2 linked regions of the Anolis sagrei genome follow. The protein of the gene in region 2 interacts with the protein of the main gene of each other region in a biochemical or structural test. Links are inferred from orthologs where the notes say so. Each region holds a gene or a part of one and is shown on either strand. Other genes may lie near its edges. The genes, in order: small ubiquitin-related modifier 3 and PIAS2.

Evidence for each region.
Region 1: the proteins of PIAS2 (region 2) and small ubiquitin-related modifier 3 form a complex in vitro, tested with the Homo sapiens proteins (2 studies listed by BioGRID, with this or other methods). The link is inferred for Anolis sagrei from reciprocal best matches to the Homo sapiens genes PIAS2 and SUMO3.

What each region holds. Positions count from the first base shown.
Region 1 is NC_090023.1:223,326,572-223,336,585, forward strand, and holds the start of small ubiquitin-related modifier 3, read left to right. Parts: upstream 1-5,644; 5' UTR 5,645-5,808; coding exon 5,809-5,829; intron 5,830-10,014. UniProt on the Homo sapiens protein: Ubiquitin-like protein which can be covalently attached to target lysines either as a monomer or as a lysine-linked polymer. Does not seem to be involved in protein degradation and may function as an antagonist of ubiquitin in the degradation process.
Region 2 is NC_090022.1:289,685,733-289,695,011, forward strand, and holds the start of PIAS2 (E3 SUMO-protein ligase PIAS2), read left to right. Parts: upstream 1-5,530; 5' UTR 5,531-5,621; coding exon 5,622-5,645; intron 5,646-9,279. UniProt on the Homo sapiens protein: Functions as an E3-type small ubiquitin-like modifier (SUMO) ligase, stabilizing the interaction between UBE2I and the substrate, and as a SUMO-tethering factor.

The sequences.
Region 1 (10,014 bases), on a different chromosome or scaffold from region 2:
ATAGATCTTTTAGATCAGGCCTGAGCAAACTCTGGCCCTCTGGATGTTTTTAACTTCAACTCCCACAATTCCTAACAGCCTACTGGCTGCTAGGAATAGTGAAAGTTAAAGTCCAAAACACCCGAAGGGCTGAAGTTTGCCCATGCTTGTTTTAGATCCACTCTTCCATTAAATTCCTTACTAGTGATTATTCCAAGGTTTGGAACTCAATGACTCAGCCATAAAACTGCAAACAGATACTACCTTGAGCCCCAGAAACCTTGCCCAAAGCCTTCCCAGGAAACCTGTTTAGTTTCTAGTGATTTATCACTGCAGTCGTGAACATACTTGCAAACATGGTGCATTTATGTCACTGGAAAACATTCCCACTTTATTCAGATGTTTTGCCTCTGTTCAGACTCACCTACAGTGTCAGCAAAAACGCTCTAACTTGGAATAGGAGCAGCAATAAACAAAGTACAGTAGGCTCTTGGCTTATGGGGTTTGGTAGATGCCAGGAAAATGTAGTTTATATAAAACTTTATTTGTATCCTGCCACCAGTTGCTTGTTTCCAGTTGCTTGAGGCCTAGCTACTACAACAATACTCCATAATATACCATAAATTAATATTGATATACAGGAACTTAAAAGAAATTACCACAAATAAAGACAAACTTAACATAACACAGTGTTGCTGTATTTAAAAGGCAGCTTTGTGGATGCAGTATTATTCAGTTTTTCACCAGTTGTTTTCTTGTCCACCAACATTTTATTTTCCATTCTTGAGCTGGGAGCAGAGTAACTGCTTTGGGAGACGGTGATCGAACATTCGGACAACATGGCCAGTCCAGTGGAGTTGATTGCATAGGACTGTGGTACCCAACCTTCCTAATGCTGCAACCCCTTAATTCAGTTGCTCATGTTGTGGTGACACCCAACCATAAAATTGTTTTCGTTGCTACTTCATAACTGTAATTTTGCTACTGTTATGAATCATAATGTAAATATCTGATATGCAGGATGTATTTTGATAGTTAACTTACAATCAAAGAGCATTCTGAACTCCACCAATGATGGAATTGAAACAAACTTGGCACACAGAACTCCCACGACCAACAGAAAATAGTGGAAGGGTTTGGTGGGCATTGACCTTGAGTTTTGAAGTTGTAGTTCACCTACATCCAGGGAGTACTGTGGACTCAAGCAATGATGTATCTGGACCAAACTTGGCATGAATACTCAATATGCCCAAATGTGAAAACTGGTGGATTTTGAGGGAAATAGACCTTGACATTTGGGAGTTGGAGCTACTGGGATTTATAATTCACCAACAATCAAAGAGCATTCTGAACTCCACCAACAATGGGATTGAACCACTGTTGGCACACAGAACCCCCATCGTGGATCGGATTAACTTGTGGTCTGTCCAGCAGTCATCAGCACCTGTCATAGCTCTTGTGAGAAGCACATTGCGGTGGTCCCTGGCACATGTAATTACATAGTCTAAAAGGTGTCAATGATTTGATCGGGGGTGCTTCCATGATGTCTTGAGCTTGTTTTTCTGGCAGAAGAGCATGTTGGTGATGACAAGGTTGTGTTCCGCAAATTTGGTGAGAAGCAGTATGCCATTCAAGTTGCTGTTTCCAACCCCATATTTTCCTATGGTCCCTGGCCACAAGTCAAAGCCTCAACCAATTCTTGTGTTAAAATCCCCCAGGGGGATAATTTTGTTCTCCTTACAAGGTGCAGTATTATAGCGATGAAGATGGAAAATAAGGTTGGGGCAATAACACATCCCTGTTTGACACCTGATTCCTCCTTAAATGGGTCACTTTGGGAGCCATTGCCAGCCAAGAGTGTTGCCATCATATCATTGTGGAGGAGCTGCAGGATGTTCACAAATTTGTCAGGGCACCTGATTTTTTGGAGGATGGTCCAGAGAGCACTGCTATTCACTGTGTTGAATGCCATTGCGAGGTCAATGAATGCCATGTAGAGAGGATGATTTGTTCCCTGTATTTTTCTTGGAGCTGTCGTGCAGTGAAGATCATGTCCACTGTTCCTCTGCCGGGGTGGAAGTCATTCTGGTATTCTGGGAGAGTGTCTTCTGAGACAGGTAGAAGGTGGTTTGCAAGGATTCTTGCGAGGATTTTCTCAGCAGAGGTTAGAAGTGAGATACCTTGATAGTTTCCGTAGTCTGTTCTTTCCCCTTTTTTGAAAAGGGGGGTGATGGTGGCATCCTTGACGTCTGCTGGGATTTTCTCAGACTCTCACACTTTTTCAATGAGCTGGTGTAGTTGTTGTGTCAGCTCACCTATAAAGCCGTAAACAGTTTGGGACCTGCCTATCTTCGTGACCGCATTGTACCCTACGAACCTGCACAATCTCTAAGAACTTTTGGGGAAGCTCTCCTCTACTCCTATCCCTGTCATAAGTGCAGTTGGTGGGGACAAGAGAGAGGGCCTTTTCTGTAGTGGCCCCCTGGTTCTGGAACTCTCTCCCCAGGGAGATTAGACTAGCACCCAATCTGTCCACTTTCTGCAAAGAACTAAAAATGTGGATGTTCCATTGTGCTTTTGACTAGACAGTTCCCCTGATACTTTTGTCCCCAGCTATGATCCAAAACCAATTCTTGCACATTGCCACTGTTCCCCAACTAGAGATATCGTGCTCTCTTTACATTGCTCCCCATTTCCTAACGTTGTCATCTGGTTTCAGGACTTTACCCATTATCCATTATATTCATCCACAGCATCTTCCAAATCAATGGGGGTGCTGAAGCCTTCTAAAGCAGTTTCTTCCAAAGCATCATCATCCCATCCTTGTAAATGATTTGCACCATCCCACCTCCCCAACCTCAGAACTTTGCACTACTCAGACCATTGGTGGTTTGCTTGATTATTGTCTTATATTGTATTATATTGTATTATGCGTGGTTGTTTTTATATTGTTTTAAATTGTCTTTATGAATGTTGTTGTGTTATATTTTAACCATATTAAGTTCGGGCTTGTCCTCATGTAAGCCACCCAGAGTTCCTTCAGGGAGATGGAGGCGCGGTATAAAAATAAAGTAGTTATTATTATTATTATTTGAAACACAACAAGATGAGTCCACAATAAACAAGATCACTCTGCTGGCTGTTGTATTGGATCACACGTCGGACATTTCCAAGTGTCTAGGACTGTGTGATGTATCGGCGAATAATGCGTGCAGATCCCAGTAAGGCGGCCTTTTGCAGCTGGCAGATGGTAATTTTGTCAGCGCCTATTGTGTTAAAGTGCAGGCCAAGGTCTTTAGGCACTGCACCCAGTGTGCCAATCACCACTGGGACTACCTTTACTGGCTTGTGCCAGAATCTTTGCAGTTCGATCTTTAAATCCTCATATTGTGTCAGCTTTTCCTGCTGTCGCCTGGGATTGCCACATCAACAATCCATACTTTGTTTTTTAACACGATCGTAAGGTCAGGCGTATTGTACTCCAAAACTCTGTCAGTCTGAATTCTGAAGTCCCAGAGTAGTTTGACGTATTCATTTTCTGTAACTTTTTCAGGCTTGTGATGCCACCAGTTCTTTGTTGCAGGCAGATGGTGTTTGTGGTACAAGTTTGATTGTTTGGTATGGCAAAATATTATTAATATTATTATTATTAGCTCAGGTCCACCCTCTTTAAATATTTCAGCAGGGATCCCATCAGGTCCGCTGGCTTTGTTATTCTTTTGTTGGCTGATGGCATTACTGATTTCTTCCAAACTAGGCAGTGCTGCAAGCTCATCCCTGGTTTGTTGTTGCATGATTTATAAGAAAATCTCTTTGGCCACATTGGAGCTGTGATTCAGGAGGCTTTGGTAGTTCTCTTTCCAATGTAGTGCCATTGATTTTTTTTTTTTTGTCCTTCAAAAGCTTGGCTCCATCTCATGGGCATAGAGGGTATATGCCAAGAATTCTTGGTCTCTCGATGACTTTTGTGGCTTTAAAAATCCCTGAGCATCATGGGTATCTGCAAAGTGTTGGATTTCTTCAGCCTTCTTTGTTCACCAGATGTTCTTGAGCTCTCTGGTCCTTCTTTGGCTCTCAGCTTTTGCACTGTTAGAATTGTGGGAGTTAGAGTCCAAAACACCTGGAGGGCCAACATTTGCCCAGGCCTAATATGGATGACTTACATTTAGCACTGCATAGGCCTGCTTTTTTATTATTCATATTTATTGAGGTTTTTCTGAAATACACTTAAAAGAGGGGGAACATATCAGGTGTATAGGAAAGTAGGAAATACAAGCAGGGATGTTTTTATATTGTTTGTTTATTGTTATATTGTTTGTTATATTGTTGTATTGGCTGCATTGTTTATTACTGTTGATTGTTATATTGTTCGCTATATTGTTTATTGTTATATTGTTTGTAATATTGTTATTTTGGCTTCATTGTTATTGTTTATTGTTATATTGTTTGTTTTATCGGCTGCATTGTTTATTGTTATATTGTTTGTTATATTGTTATATTGTTTGTAATATTGTTATATTGACTGCATTGTTTATTATTGTTTATTGTTATATTATTTATTGTTTGTTATATCGGCTGCATTGTTTATTATTGTTTGTTGTTATATTGTTTATTGTTTGTTGTTGTTATATTGGCTACAATGTTTATTATTGTTTATTGTTATATTGTTTGTTATATCGGCTGTATTGTTAATTATTGTTTATTTTTATATTGTTTGTTATGTTGTTTATTGTTTGTTATATTGTTATATTGACTGCAATGTTTATTGTTTATTGTTACATTGTTCGTAATATTGTTATATTGGCAGCATTGTTTATTGTTTATTGTTATATTGTTTATTGTTTGTTATATTGTTATATTGGCTGCAATGTTTATTGTTTATTGTTACATTGTTTGTAATATTGTTATATTGGCAGCATTGTTTATTATTGTTTATTGTTTGTTTGTTATATTGGCTGCATTGTTTATTTTTGTTTATTGTTATATTGTTATAGTGGCTGCATTATTATTGTTTATTGTTATATTGGCTGCATTGCTTATTATTGTTTATTGTTATATCATTTGTTATATTGTTTATTGTTTGTTATATCGGCTGCATTGTTTATTATTGTTTGTTATATTGTTTATTGTTGTTATATTGGCTGCAATGTTTATTATTGTTATATTGTTTATTATATTGTTGTTTGTTATATTGATTGTTAATTATTGTTTATTGTTATATTGTTTGTTATATTGTTATATTGGCTGCATTGTTTATTGTTATTTATTGTTATATTTTTGTTTGTTGGTTAATGTTTGTTATATTGGCTGCATTGTTTATTATTGTTTATTGTTTGTTATTGTTCGTTATATTGGCTGCATTGGCCAATATAACATTTATTTCCTTCAGTGAAGACTATTTTTCTGAAGGAAGAAGTCACAAAGAAGTGATGTTTTGTAACGTATTTACTGATTTAAGCACACACCCACACCCACACAAGAGAGGCTCCTCCCCTTCTTCTTCCTCCCGCGCTGGAAAGCATGCCTCTCCCACCCACCCATCCTTCCTTCCCTCCCTCCCTTCCGCCGCATTCAGCCGGCGATGACGCACACAGCCGGGCGCGCTCCCGAGGAAAAGAACCCCGCTCGGGAGCGCGCCTCGGGGGCGAGCGCGGCCCCCCACGTGGCCCCGCCGGGAGCCAATCAGGAAGCGGGGATTGTGGGGCGCCAAGCGCGTGCTGGCGGGCAGTTGCTGCGGGCGGGATTGAAGAGAGAGAGAGAGAAGGGGAGATTGAGAGAGAGAGGGAGACGGGCTTCGGAGGTGCTTCTTTCCCTCAGCGAAGCGTCGCCATGTCCGAGGAGAAGCCAAAGGTGAGTTAAATCAGCGGGAGGGAAGGAGGCAAGGATTGGCCTCCATCATCCTCACCGCCGCCTTCTTCTGAGGGGAAAAGTGCGGCCTTCCTTTCTCTCAGTGAGGGAGAAGCCAGGCCTTTCCTCGACCCGGAAGAAGAACGGCGAGGCGGGGGTGGAGTGCTGTTAGGCCTCAGGGCTTGCCTCTCTCGCATCTTTGGCATCACCCACGCGTTATGGGATTTGTAGTTCCTCTTGGGCATGGGAGGCCTTGTGGTGATACAACTCCTATTGAGCCTTCCAAAGTGGCGCCAAACTGCATTCATTTTCGCCCTGATGTTTCTGATAGTTTATTACAGGCCTGGGCCAACTTGGGCCTTCCTCCAGGTGTTTTGGACTCCAACTCCCACCATTCCTAACAGCCTCAGGCCCGCTTAAGCGGCTGAGGGGCAAAAGGAAAGGGCCTGAGGCTGTTAGGAATGGTGGGAGTTGGAGTCCAAAACACCTGGAAAGCAGGCCCAAGTTGGTCCAGGCCTGCTTCACAATATTGTGAATGAAATTCCTTTTTTTGCATCAATGCATTTTATATTCATTCTCAAGCCCCATCTCCCAAGGTATCTCATAATGCATATATGCAAATATCCTTCTACTCCCAAGCCTTTTAAACTGTCTCTTAAGCCTCCAAACTGCAGCTCGACTCCCACAAAAGCGCGCGAAAGAAAAGCCCTCCCTGCGCATCCTTGCTTTGTGGAATCACCATCCAGGCCTACAAACCGGTTTGGAAATTACCTACACAGAGAAACCTCTTTCTTCAGTACTAGCATTACTAAATAGTCATGTTATACTTGATCTGGGACACCAAAATGCCCCAAAATTGGATTTCTTTGGCCCGTTCCACACAGCTGAATCAAATTCCACATTTTCTGGTTTGAACTGGGGGCCCTTCCACACAGCCCTATATCCCAGAATATCAAGGCAGAAAATCCCACATTATCTGAGTGTGGGCTCGGATAACCCAATTCAAAGCAGATATTATGGGATTTTCTTCCACACAGACCTATATCCCAGAATATCAAGGCAGAAAATCCCATGTTATCTGAGTGTGGACTCAGATAAACCCAGTTCGAAGCAGATATTATGGGATTTTCTTCCACACAGCCTTATATCCCAGAATATCAAGGCAGAAAATCCCACATTATCTGAGTGTGGAGTCAGATAAACCCAGTTCAAAGCAGATATTATGGGATTTTCTTCCACACAGGCCTGTATTCCAGAATAACAAGGCAGAAAATCCCACATTATCTGAGTATGATAACCCAATTCAAAGCAGATATTAATGGGATTTTCTTCCTAGATATTCTGGGATATAGGGCTGTGTGGAAGGGCTCTGGGATATAGGGCAGTGTGGACTCAGATAACCCAGTTCAAAGCAGATCTTGTGGGTTATTCTGCCTTGATATTCTGGGTTATATAGCTGTGTGGAAGGGCCCTGTGCGTTTTCCGGGCTGTATGGCCATGTTCCAGAAGCATCCTCTCCTGACGTTTCGCCCACATCTATGGTGGGCATCCTCAGAGGTTGTGAGGTCTGTTGGAAACTAGGCTAGTGGGATTTATATACCTGTGGAATGGCCCAAGGTGGGAGAAAGAACTCTTGTCTGCTGGAGGCAGGTGTGAATGTTGCAATTGAACCACCTTGATTACCACTGAATGGCCTTGCAGCTTCAAAGCCTAGCTGCTTCCTGCCTGGGGGAATCCTTTGTTGGGAGGTAATTAGCTGGCTCCAAAATTGTCTATGTGTTTTGAATGAAAGAGTGATACCTGTGCATCTTGATGGTTCACTGCAGCCAGTCGTGTTCATGCAGCATATTATTTAAGGTTTGTGTGTAAAATGGACCTTAAGCGTCCATTAATTTCTTGTTCTGGACTATGGGCCCCAGCTCAAAGACGGTTCATTATGTGTATATATCATCAGATATTCCCAAATCCAAAACTCTTCTTGTCCCCAGCATTTGGGATAAGGCAGACATGGGCCCTCCCAGTGTTTTGGACTGCAACTCCCACAATTCCTTACAGCCGGTAGGAATTGTGGGAGTTGAAGTCCAAAACACCGAGAGGGTCGAAGTTTGCCCATGCCTGGGATAAAGGATACTCTTGGCCCTTCCACACAGCCATATAACCCAGAATATCAAGGCAGGAGATCCCACATTTTCTTCTTTGAACTGGAATATATGGCAGTGTAAACTCAGATAACCCAGTTCAAAGCCGATATTGTGGGATTTTCTGCCTTGATACTCTGGTTTATACGGCTGTGTAGAAGGGCCCCCATTTTCCACCTTGAAGTTGTAATGCCTTGCCTCTTGCTGAGTGAACCGAGGAAGCAATAAAAGATGAGAAGAAGGGACTGCTTCCCTCCCCGGAGCTCTTATTGTCAAGGGATGGCGATGGCGTGCGACCACCACGCGGCTTCGCATCAGCCTAGACTTCCCTTTCCTTTTCCCTCCCTCTTTCGTTTCCGTTGGAAGTAGGGGAGCCGCTCTGGGATTCATGTTGTCTTCCCTACTGGTTTCCTTCGGATTTAGATCCCTGCCGCCCACGTGCTTGTGCATCCAGCGCTTTACTCTGGGCGTTAGATTCCTCTGCTGCACAAAACTTAAAGATATATGAGCCCCTTCTACTTTTCACTCAGGCAACCCTAGCTTCCATAGATTCGCCTTCCCTAGTTTAATCATTGTGCAGTGGAAAGGGGAGGGATATTATAGCATGTAAGGAAGAGATTAACACTTATCTTCTCCAGTTGGAAATTGGCTATTTCTATTTATGGCAGAAAGTCCATTGGCATCAGTGAGCGCAGTCCCGCCCCCCCCCCCCAAACACCTTAGGCTCCTTCTACACTGTCATATAATCCAGGTTATCAAATCAGATAATCCACGTTATCTTCTTTGAATTGGATTATATGAGTCTACACTGCCATATAATGCAGTTTAAAGCAGATAATCTGGATTTTATATGTCAATGCAGAAGGGGCCTTAGTTCAGCGGGGAAGATCATTTGATTGATACCAATAGTACTTTCAGCTGTACATGAAATCCTCTGAGCCTATACTGCAATATAATCCAGTTCAAAGCAGATAAACTGAATTTTATACGGCTGTGTAGAAATATGGATTTATACAACTGTGATGCGCTCAGCACAGTCCATAATATCTAGGCCCCTTCTTATGGACTGTGCCCAGCACAGTTGTATAAATCCACATTTCTATACAGCCGTATAGAATTCAGTTTATCTGCTTTGAACCGTATTATATTGCGATATAGACTCAGAGGATTTCATGTACAGCTGAAAGTACTTCTATTGGTATCAATCACATGATCTTTCCCCCTGAACTAAGGCCGCTTCTGCACTGCCATATAAAATCCAGATTATTCAAAGTAGATATTGTGTGATTTATTCCTTGATATTCTGTGTTATATTGCTATATTGAAGGGCCCCTTGTAGATTACCTGAGTTGATATTCTGGCTTTTATTGAGATGTGGAAGGGCCCCATGTGATTTTAAAAGGGTTGGAGTGGGGCAGTGGTTTCCAAACTTTGATCCTGGTATTTTGGACTTCATTTCCCAGAAGCCTCAACCAGCATGAAATCCTGGATCAAAACACCAGGTGTGTTTTCACTGTAGAATTAATGCAGTTAGTTATGCACTGCTCCAGCCACTGTGGCCCAATACTGTACAATCTTGGGAGTTGTAGTTTTGCAAGGTCTTTAGCCTTCTCTGCAAAAGGGTGCTCGTGCCTCACCAAACTACAACTCCCAGGATTTCATATCATTGAACCATTGCTGTTTAAGTGGGTCAAAGTTCATTAATTACTCACCATAGATGCACCTTTGAAGGATCAAAGTTTGGAATTTCAGCATTTGGGGAAATTCTGAGTTTTAAATCTCAGTGGGGTTTTAGAAGGTGCACTTATACCAGAGGTCTTCAAATTTTTAAAGCCAAGGGCTGGTTCACAGACTATTGCGGGAGAGACGGACTGTAGTTTGAAAAAGATGAACAGATTCCTATGTACACTGCAGATATCTTAATGCAAAATAAATAAATAAAGATAAAAATTGTTCGTTGTTCATTCGTTCAGTCGTCTCCGACTCTTCGTGACCTCATGGACCAGCCTACGCCAGAGCTCCCTGTCGGCCGTTACCACCCCCAGCTCCC
Region 2 (9,279 bases):
TGTTCTAGAGGCATTTCTCCTGACGTTTCGCCTGCATCTATGGCAAGCATCCTCAGATGCTTATTATTATGCTTATAATTATTATTATGCTTATAATTATGCTTATAATTATTATATTATTATTATTATTATTATATCATTATCATTATTATTACTTTGAGTGCATCTTATTATTATTACTTGTGCGCCAGCTGCGCCCATACCTTGGGAAGTCTGACTTGGCCACGGTGGTCCATGCTTTGGTTACATCCCATTTAGATTACTGCAACGCTCTCTACGTGGGGTTGCCTTTGAAGACTGCCCGGAAGCTCCAACTAGTCCAACGTGCGGCAGCCAGAATGCTAACACGAGCAGGGTACAAGGAGCATACTACTCCTCTGTTGCACCAGCTCCACTGGTTGCCAATTAGCTTCTGAGCACAATTCAAAGTGCTGGTGTTAACCTATAAATCCCTAAACGACTCCAACCCAGTTAACCTGTTCGAACATATTCTCCCCTATGAACCATCTAGGTTGTTAAGATCGCCTGGAGGGGCCCTGCTCTCGGTCCCACCAGCGCGTCTGGTGGGGACGAGGGACAGGGCCTTCTCGGTGGTGGTCCCTCGACTCTGGAACTCTCTCCCACTGGAGATCAGAACTGCCCCCTCCAATCTGTCATTCAGAAAACGGGTGAAAACCTGGCTATGGGGTTTGGCTTTCGACGAGTGAATCAATATTTCTGTGATCGGATAGATGACGATGAATGATGGACAACGAATTCACTATGACAACTGACCATTGTTATTATGTGATTGCATTTTGCTGTTATAACATTTTAATTGAATATGTTATATGATGTTTTTAATGATTGTTTCGTGATTTTATTGTTGGAAACCGGCCCGAGTCCCCCGATAGAGGGGAGAAGACCGGTATACAAAATTGCTAAATAAATAAATAATAAATCTATGCTATATATATAATACTGATATATAATATATAATACTGATATATTGTACTATGCTAATAATATAATATAATATAATATAAATATTATATTACTATGCTAATAGTATAATATATTGTATGAAAATATATATTGTAAGCTGCTCTGAGTCCCCTTCGGGGTGATAAGGGTGGCATATAAATGCCGTAAAAAATAAATAAATATAATTAATGCACTTTAATTAATGCATTTAACTGCATCTATGTTAGTATTATTATTATTATTTGAAACACAACAAGATGAGTCCACAGCAGACAAGATAACTCTGCTGGCTGTTGTATTGGATCACAAGTGTCTAGGACTGTGTGATATATTGGCGAATAATGTGTGCAGATCCCAGTAACGTGGCCTTCTGCAACTTGCAGATGGTAATTTTGTCAGCGCCGATTGTGTTTAAGTGCAGGCCAGGGTCTTTAGGCACTGCATCCAGTGTGCCGATCATCACTGGGACCACCTTGACTAATTTGTGCCAGAGTCTTTGCAGTTCGACCTTTAAATCCTTATATCGTGTCAGCTTTTCTAGTTGTTTCTCTTCGATCCTGCTGTCACCTGGGACAGCAATATCGACAATCCATTGTTATTATTATTATTTACACCCCACTTTTTCTCTCCACAAAGTAGACCCAATTTCTAAATATTTACTTAAGTTTCTAAAGTCACTTACAGTCATTGTTCTGCCAGGACTCACTGTCTGCTCTACTTGAAGCAAGTAGGCAACATTATTTGCCCCTAATTTCCCTAGGTAAATAAGAACTCCCATTCATTTCACCTCCACCTGGGAACAATTCTTCCTGATGTGTATCTTAATTTCTAAAAGGAAAATATATGATGTCTGTGTGTGAATGAGAAGCGTTCTCCAGTTATACTCCATTGTAAATGCATAGTGAATTGTAGTGAGTATTGTAACCCTGTGAGGATACTGTAAGAAGTAGGCAGCACAGCAGGCATGTAGCTGGGGGGGGGGGGGGGGCTTGAGGGGCTTAAGCCCCCCCCCCCCCAAATTCTCATGGTGGTTCGCGAAAAGGCCTTACTGGTACATTATTTAAACTGTTATGTTTATTCATATCATGATCTGATCACCATACTCAATATATCCCATATGCATGGGGGTATTGGGGTAATGATACAAAAGGTTTGCTAGGCTAGACCCTCTTTCACTCAGACTCAGCCCCCCCAACCCCCCCCCCTGAAAATTTTTTAGCCCCCCCCCCCACCCGAAACGAAATCCTGGCTACGGGCCTGCAGCACAGTAGTTGTTATTTTTATTTATTTATTAGCTCATATGGTTTGTTGTGCATGCTGTAAGCATGCTATATAAGAGATATAAATTATAACTACTGATTGTGCTTAATGTATATATGCTTCACATTTACTATTTTGTATTATTTTTTACTTTCTCTGTAAAACTTGTCAGGATTGTTTAACTTTGAGTGGAAACTGGAACTGCTCACCCAAGATAACACAATAAAGGAAAGGTAAGACAATGAGGAACTCTGGCAGCAAATAATATTATTATTGCTATTGTTAAATACTGCCAGAGACTGTCTAACAGGTCAGCACTAATACAGGTCTGAATATGACAATAAATAACAATTACTGAGATTACTAATATTGCTATTGTTAATATTAACAGAGACCCTTTGAGAATTGAATGCAATAACAACATTATTAGTCTCTGACAGGGATAAATACATTTTGTTGTTACTGTTGTTGTTTCTTCTCTGCTGTTTTGCTGTTGTAATTTTAGAGTTTTTTTTTATACTGGTAGCCAGATTTTGTTCATTTTCATGGTCTCCTCCTTTCTGTTGAAATTGTCCACATGCTTGTGGATTTCAATGGCTTCTCTGTGTAGTCTGACATGGTGGTTGTTGGAGTGGACCAGCATTTCTGTGTTCTCAAATAATATGCTGTGAAGCAGAGAGGAAACAATCAGGCACATCTTAATTGTCTGATTGTCCTTATCTAGTTGTCAGATTGCCCAAAGGCCTGGTCCCACAACCATGTCTTTACTTTCCTCCCGAAGAGGAGGAGGGAAGTTGATGACCTAATTACCCCCAGGAGTGAGTTCTACAGGTGAGGGGCCACCACTGAGAAGGCCCTGTTCCTCGTCCCCACCAACCTCACTTGTGATAGCGGTGGGGTCGAGAGTAGGGCCCTCCCAGATGATCTCAAAATCCGGGGTGGGACGTAGAGGGAGATGTGTTTGGACAGGTATGCTGGACTGGAACCGTATAGGGTTTTGTAGGTCAAAACCAACACCTTGAACTGGACCGGCAGCCAGTGGAGCTGACACAGCAGGGCGGTGGTGTGCTCCCTGTATGACGCTCCGGTGAGTAATCTGGCTGCCGCTTGCTGGACCAGTTGAAGTTTCCGAACAGTCTTATTTATTTATTTATTTATTTATTATTTAAACTTATATGCCGCCACTCCCCTGGGGCTTGGAGCGGCTTACAAGACTAGCTAAAATCTAACACAATTTAAAAGCAATTTAAAACAATTTAAAAACAACACTATCAAACATTAAAACCTGTTGAAACAGGTATGTCTTACATGCCCTGCGGAAAGATGGTGAGTCCCGCAAGGCACAGACTTCAAGTGGCAGAGTATTCCAGAGTGATGGTGCCACTGCTGTGAAGGCTCTGCGTCTGGTTGCTGTTAGATGCAAGGTCCTGACACTGGGGACTTCCAATAGATCTTGGTCCTCAGAACGGAGGGATCTCTGGGGTTGGTAGGGGGTGAGGCGGTCCCTCAGGTACATCGGCCCCAGACCATGCAAGGCCTTAAAGGTGAGTACCATCACTTTGAAAGTGATCCGGTGCTCAATTGGTAACCAATGCAGCTGTAGTAAGATTGGGGTTATGTGGCATCTCATCAGAATTCCCGCAAGAAGCCGAGTAGCTGCGTTTTGTACCAACTTGAGCTTCCGGATCATCGTCTTCAAGGGTAGAGTGCGTTGCAGTAGTCTATTCGGGATGTAACAAGAGTTCTTTCTCCCACCCTGGACATTATTCCACAGATATATAAACCCAAATTTCCTAGTTCCCAATAGACCTCACAACCTCTGAGGATGCCTGCCACAGATCATAGAATCATAGAATCAAAGAGTTGGAAGAGACCTCATGGGCCATCCAGTCCAACCCCCTGCCAAGAAGCAGGAATATTGCATTCAAATCACCCCTGACAGATGGCCATCCAGCCTCTGTTTAAAAGCTTCCAAAGAAGGAGCCTCCACCACACTCCGGGGCAGAGAGTTCCACTGCTGAACGGCTCTCACAGTCAGGAAGTTCTTCCTCATGTTCAGATGGAATCTCCTCTCTTGTAGTTTGAAGCCATTGTTTCGCATCCTAGTCTCCAGGGAAGCAGAAAACAAGCTTGCTCCCTCCTCCCTGTGGCTTCCTCTCACATATTTATACATGGCTATCATATCCCCAAAGATTACTGCAGATGCAGACTGTGGCCAGGAAATCAGAAGACGCTTACTTCTTGGGAGGAGAGCAATGTCCAGTCTCGATAAAGTAGTAAAGAGTAGAGACATCAGACTGGCAACAAAGATCCATTGCCTAGTCAAAACCATGGTATTCCCTGTAGTAACCTACGGATGTGAGAGCTGGACCTTAGGGAAGGCTGAGCGAAGGAAGATCGATGCTTTTGAGCTGTGGTGTTGGAGGAAAGTGCTGAGAGTGCCTTGGACTGCGAGAAGATCCAACCAGTCCATCCTCCAGGAAATAAAGCCCGACTGCTCACTGGAGGGAAGGATACTAGAGACAAAGCTGAAGTCCTTTGGCCACATCTTGAGGAGACAGCAAAGCCTAGAGAAGACAATTATGCTGGGGAAAGTGGAAGGCAAAAGGAAGAGGGGCCAACCAAGGGCAAGATGGATGGATGGGATCCTTGAAGTGACTGGACTGACTTTGAAGGAGCTGGGGGTGGTGACGGCCGACAGGGAGCTCTGGCATGGGCTGGTCCATGAGGTCGCGAAGAGTCAGAGACAATTGAACGAATGAACAACAATCATATCCCCTCTCAGCCTTCTCTTCTTCAGGCTAAACATGCACAGCTCCTTAAGCCGTTCCTCATAGGCCTTGTTCTCCAGACCCTTGATAATTTTAGTCGCCCTCCTCTGGACACATTCCAGCTTGTCAATATCTCTCTTGAATTGTGGTGCCCAGAATTGGACACAATATTCCAGATGTGGTCTAACCAAAACAGAATAGAGGGGTAGCATTACTTCCCTAGATCTAGACACTATGCTCCTATTGATGCAGGCCAAATAGACCTCACAACCTTTGAGGATGCCTGCCACAGATGCAGGGGAAATCTCAGGAGGGAATGCTTCTGGAGCATGGCCTTACAGCCCGGAAAACCTACAACAACCCAGTGATTCCGGCCATGGAAGACTTCATGTTGCTGTTGTTGTTGCCAAAACAGTGCTGCCCCTTTAAGAAAGGAAAGCCTCATTCTCAAGAGGGCTCCTCCCTCCCTCCCGCCCGCCCTTTCAAACACCCAGCGAAGGGGGCGTGGCCAGGAGTAGGCCCCGCCCCTCGGGGGGTCCACGTGACCGGCGGAGCGGCGGGGGAGGGGGCGCTGGGCGCGTGCCTCAGGATGGTGGCGGCAGAAGCGGCGGAGGCGGCGGAGGGAAAATGGCGGACTTCGAGGAGCTGAGGGTGAGCAGCAGGCGCGGGCGGTTGGAAGGCAAGGCCGCGGGGGCCTCCGTTGCCTGGGCCCCGGATCCCTCTGTCCACTGAGGCCTCCCAACCTTCCTTCCTTCTCTCCCTGGAGCCTGAGGCCTAGCTCGCCCCCACAGCCCGGGAATTGGGGCCTACACGGTCTTGTTCCTAAGGCTGCGAGCAGCGCCTAGGCCCCTCCAAGGAAAGAAGAAGGCCTTAGGCAGAATACATTGGAATATTACCAATAATTAGGTTCCTGTAGGTTTTTTCGGGCTATAGGGCCATGTTCTAGAGGCATTTCTCCTGACGTTTCGCCTGCATCTATGGCAAGCATCCCCAGAGGTAGTGAGGTCTGTTGGAAGTAGGAATTAACAACAGCTAAACAACAGAGCGTAAACAATCAGGCACATCAAATCACTCTCAACAGAAGATTCCCCCCAGGCACTTCCAAGCCATTAAATGCTAATCAAGGTGGTCAGTTGAAACATTCACACCTTGCTCCAACAGACAAGATTCCTTTGTCTCACCCTGGTCATTCCACAGATATAAAAACCCATTTTCCTATTTCCAACAGACCTCACTACCTCTGAGGATGCTTGCCATAGATGCAGGCGAAACGTCAGGAGAAATGCCTGTAGAACATGGCCCTATAGCCCGAAAAAACCTACAAGAACCTAGTGATTCCAGCCATGAAAGCCTTCGACAATACATTACCAATAATAATTATAATAAATCCGAATAGTCTCTCTTAATGGCCGGCCTGTGCTGTGAGCCACTAAGAGAGCCAGAAGGGTATACATATAGTAATAAATAATAGCAATAAATAATCAAAATAATAATCTGCACCTGAATATTCTCTCTAATTGTTTTTAATCCCCTGAAGCACTAAGAGAGCCAAGAGACTATACATATAGTAATAAATAGGTTTAATAAATTATAGTAATAGTTAAACATGAGCCAACAATGTGATGTGGCAGCAAAAAAAGCCAATGGGATTTTGGCCTGCATCAATAGGAGCATAGTGTCTAGATCTAGGGAATTAATGCTACCTCTCTATTCCGCTTTGGTTAGACCACACCTGGAATATTGTGTCCAATTCTGGGGACCACAATTCAAGAGAGATATTGACAAGCTGGAATGTGTCCAGAGGAGGGTGACTAAAATGATCAAGGGTCTGGAGAACAAGCCCTATGAGGAGCAGCTTAAGGAGCTGGGCATGTTTAGCCTAAAGAAGAGAAGGCTGAGAGGAGATATGATAGTCATATATAAATATGTGAGAGGAAGCCACAGGGAGGAGGGAGCCGGCTTGTTTTCTGCTTCCCTGGAGACTAGGACGTGGAACAATGGCTTCAAACTACAAGAGAGGAGATTCCATCTGAACATGAGGAAGAACTTCCTGACTGTGAGAGCCGTTCAGCAGTGGAACTCTCTGCCTCGGGGTGTGGTGGAGGCTCCTTCTTTGGAAGCTTTTAAACAGAGGCTGGATGGCCATCTGTCAGGGGTGATTTGAATGCAATATTCCTGCTTCTTGGCAGAATGGGGTTGGACTGGATGGCCCATGAGGTCTCTTCCAACTCTTCGATTCTATGATTCTAATAATAATAAATATCTTTATAAATAAAACATGTAATGTAGTATACATATAAATTTATTTATTTTTGGCATTGGTAGCCTTCCTTTCTCAGCCTTATAGCTACTCAAAGCGGCTTACAGAAATGGGCAGAATTTGATGCCATACATTCAAAGTACAGTTAAAAACATTCAACCTAATAATATAAAAACCATATAAATCATTAAAACCATTTTGAAAACATAGAATCACCAGTGTCGTCCTGTTAAAATCATTATCCAGCAGCTTCGTCTAGTCATTCTGTCTTCATTCTTCCTATTTCTGAATTATTCATTCCACTGCATTTCTTGGTCGGGCCCTCTTCCTTTTGCCTTCCACAATATATTATATCCTTAGCATAGTTCAATATCAGTATTAAATACATTGAATGTTTGTTGTGTATATGCTGTGCTCCGTCCTGAGTCCCCTTCGGGTTGAAAAGGGTGGAATATAAATGTTTTAAATAAATAAAATATTACTATATTGTACTATACCATTATATTGTAATATTATTAGTAATATTACATGTAATATAAATATATAATTGTAATATATTATTAGTAGTATTATATTGCATTACATTATAATATTATAAATATATGTGTATTTATAATTGATATTGTATTACATTATTTTATTAGAATAGCACAGGAGACAAGGTGGAACTGTCCCCTGGCCCCCTCTCTCTTCACTGGCCCAGAGCGGCAGTTGGTGCTGGGGGGAGGCAGGGGACAGTTTGATCTTATCTCCTGCATCACCGATGACATATGCAGGAGACAAGATGGAACTGTCCTCTGCCTCCCCCCCCCCCCCCTTCACTCTATCCCAGAGTGGCAGCTGGTTCTGAGGGGAGAAGTCCTCATCTGATGACATATGCAGGAGACAAGATGGAACTGTCCCCTGGCCCCCTCTCTCTTCATTTTGGCCCAGAGCAGCAGTTGGTGCTGGGGGGAACACATGAATATTCTCTGTAATAGGCAGCCTGTGTTGTTTTTAAGGCTGTGAGCAATTAAGAGAGCCAAATATAATAATTAATATAATATAATAATTAATATACACCTGGATAGTCTTTCTAATGGCCAGTCTATATTTTTAATTTTGTGAACCACTGAAGAGAGCATAATACATATAAATAATAATAATATAAACCTGAATATTCTCTCTAACGGCTGTCCTGTATTGTTACTGTGAGCTGCTAAGGGAAGACGGTAAAAGTTTCCTCTTGACACGAAGTCTAGTCGAATCTGACACCTCCATTTCTAAGCAATCAGCATTGTCCGTAGACACCTAGGTCATGCAGCCAGCATGACTGAATGGAGCGAAATTACCCTCCCCAAAAGTAGTACCTATTGATGTACTCACATTTGTATCGCCCTGCTCCCCGGATTCAAACTGCTAGGTTGCAAAAGCTGGGACTAACAATGGGAGCTCACCCTGTCCCACAGATTCGAACCACCGACCTTCTGGTCAGCAAGTTCAGCAGCTTCACAGTTTAACCCACTGCAGGGAAAGGAAGAAAGTAGAGTATAAATAAATATAATGAACACCTGCATATTCTCCTTCATGGCCAGACTATATTGTTTTCAATGTTGCAAGCTGTTTTGAGTCTCGTCTAAGAGAGGAAACTGGAGTTTTACTAAACACCAGACACAAACGTGGTTTGTAGGGCTCATCCCTCATGGAGAGGGCCTTCTCGATGGTGGCCCCCCAGCTTTGGAATGCCTTCCTCAGGGAGATTAGGCAGGCCCCCAAACTGCCCTTCTTCTGTACAAATCTGAAAACTTGGATGTTTAAACAAGCCTTTTAGAATGGCTAGTCCCAATGGTCCACAATCAATAACACAACATTGCACTTTCATTCCATGCTTTTGTTCCTTAGCTACAATTTGCACTATCCATTCCCTTGTCTTGTTTACAGTCTGGCCATGTCTTACGAAAGTTGTCACCATAGGTTATTGTTCTGAGTTAAATTGTTTTTTATATGCAAAATATTTTACTTTATTGTATTGTACTCTGTGTCTAT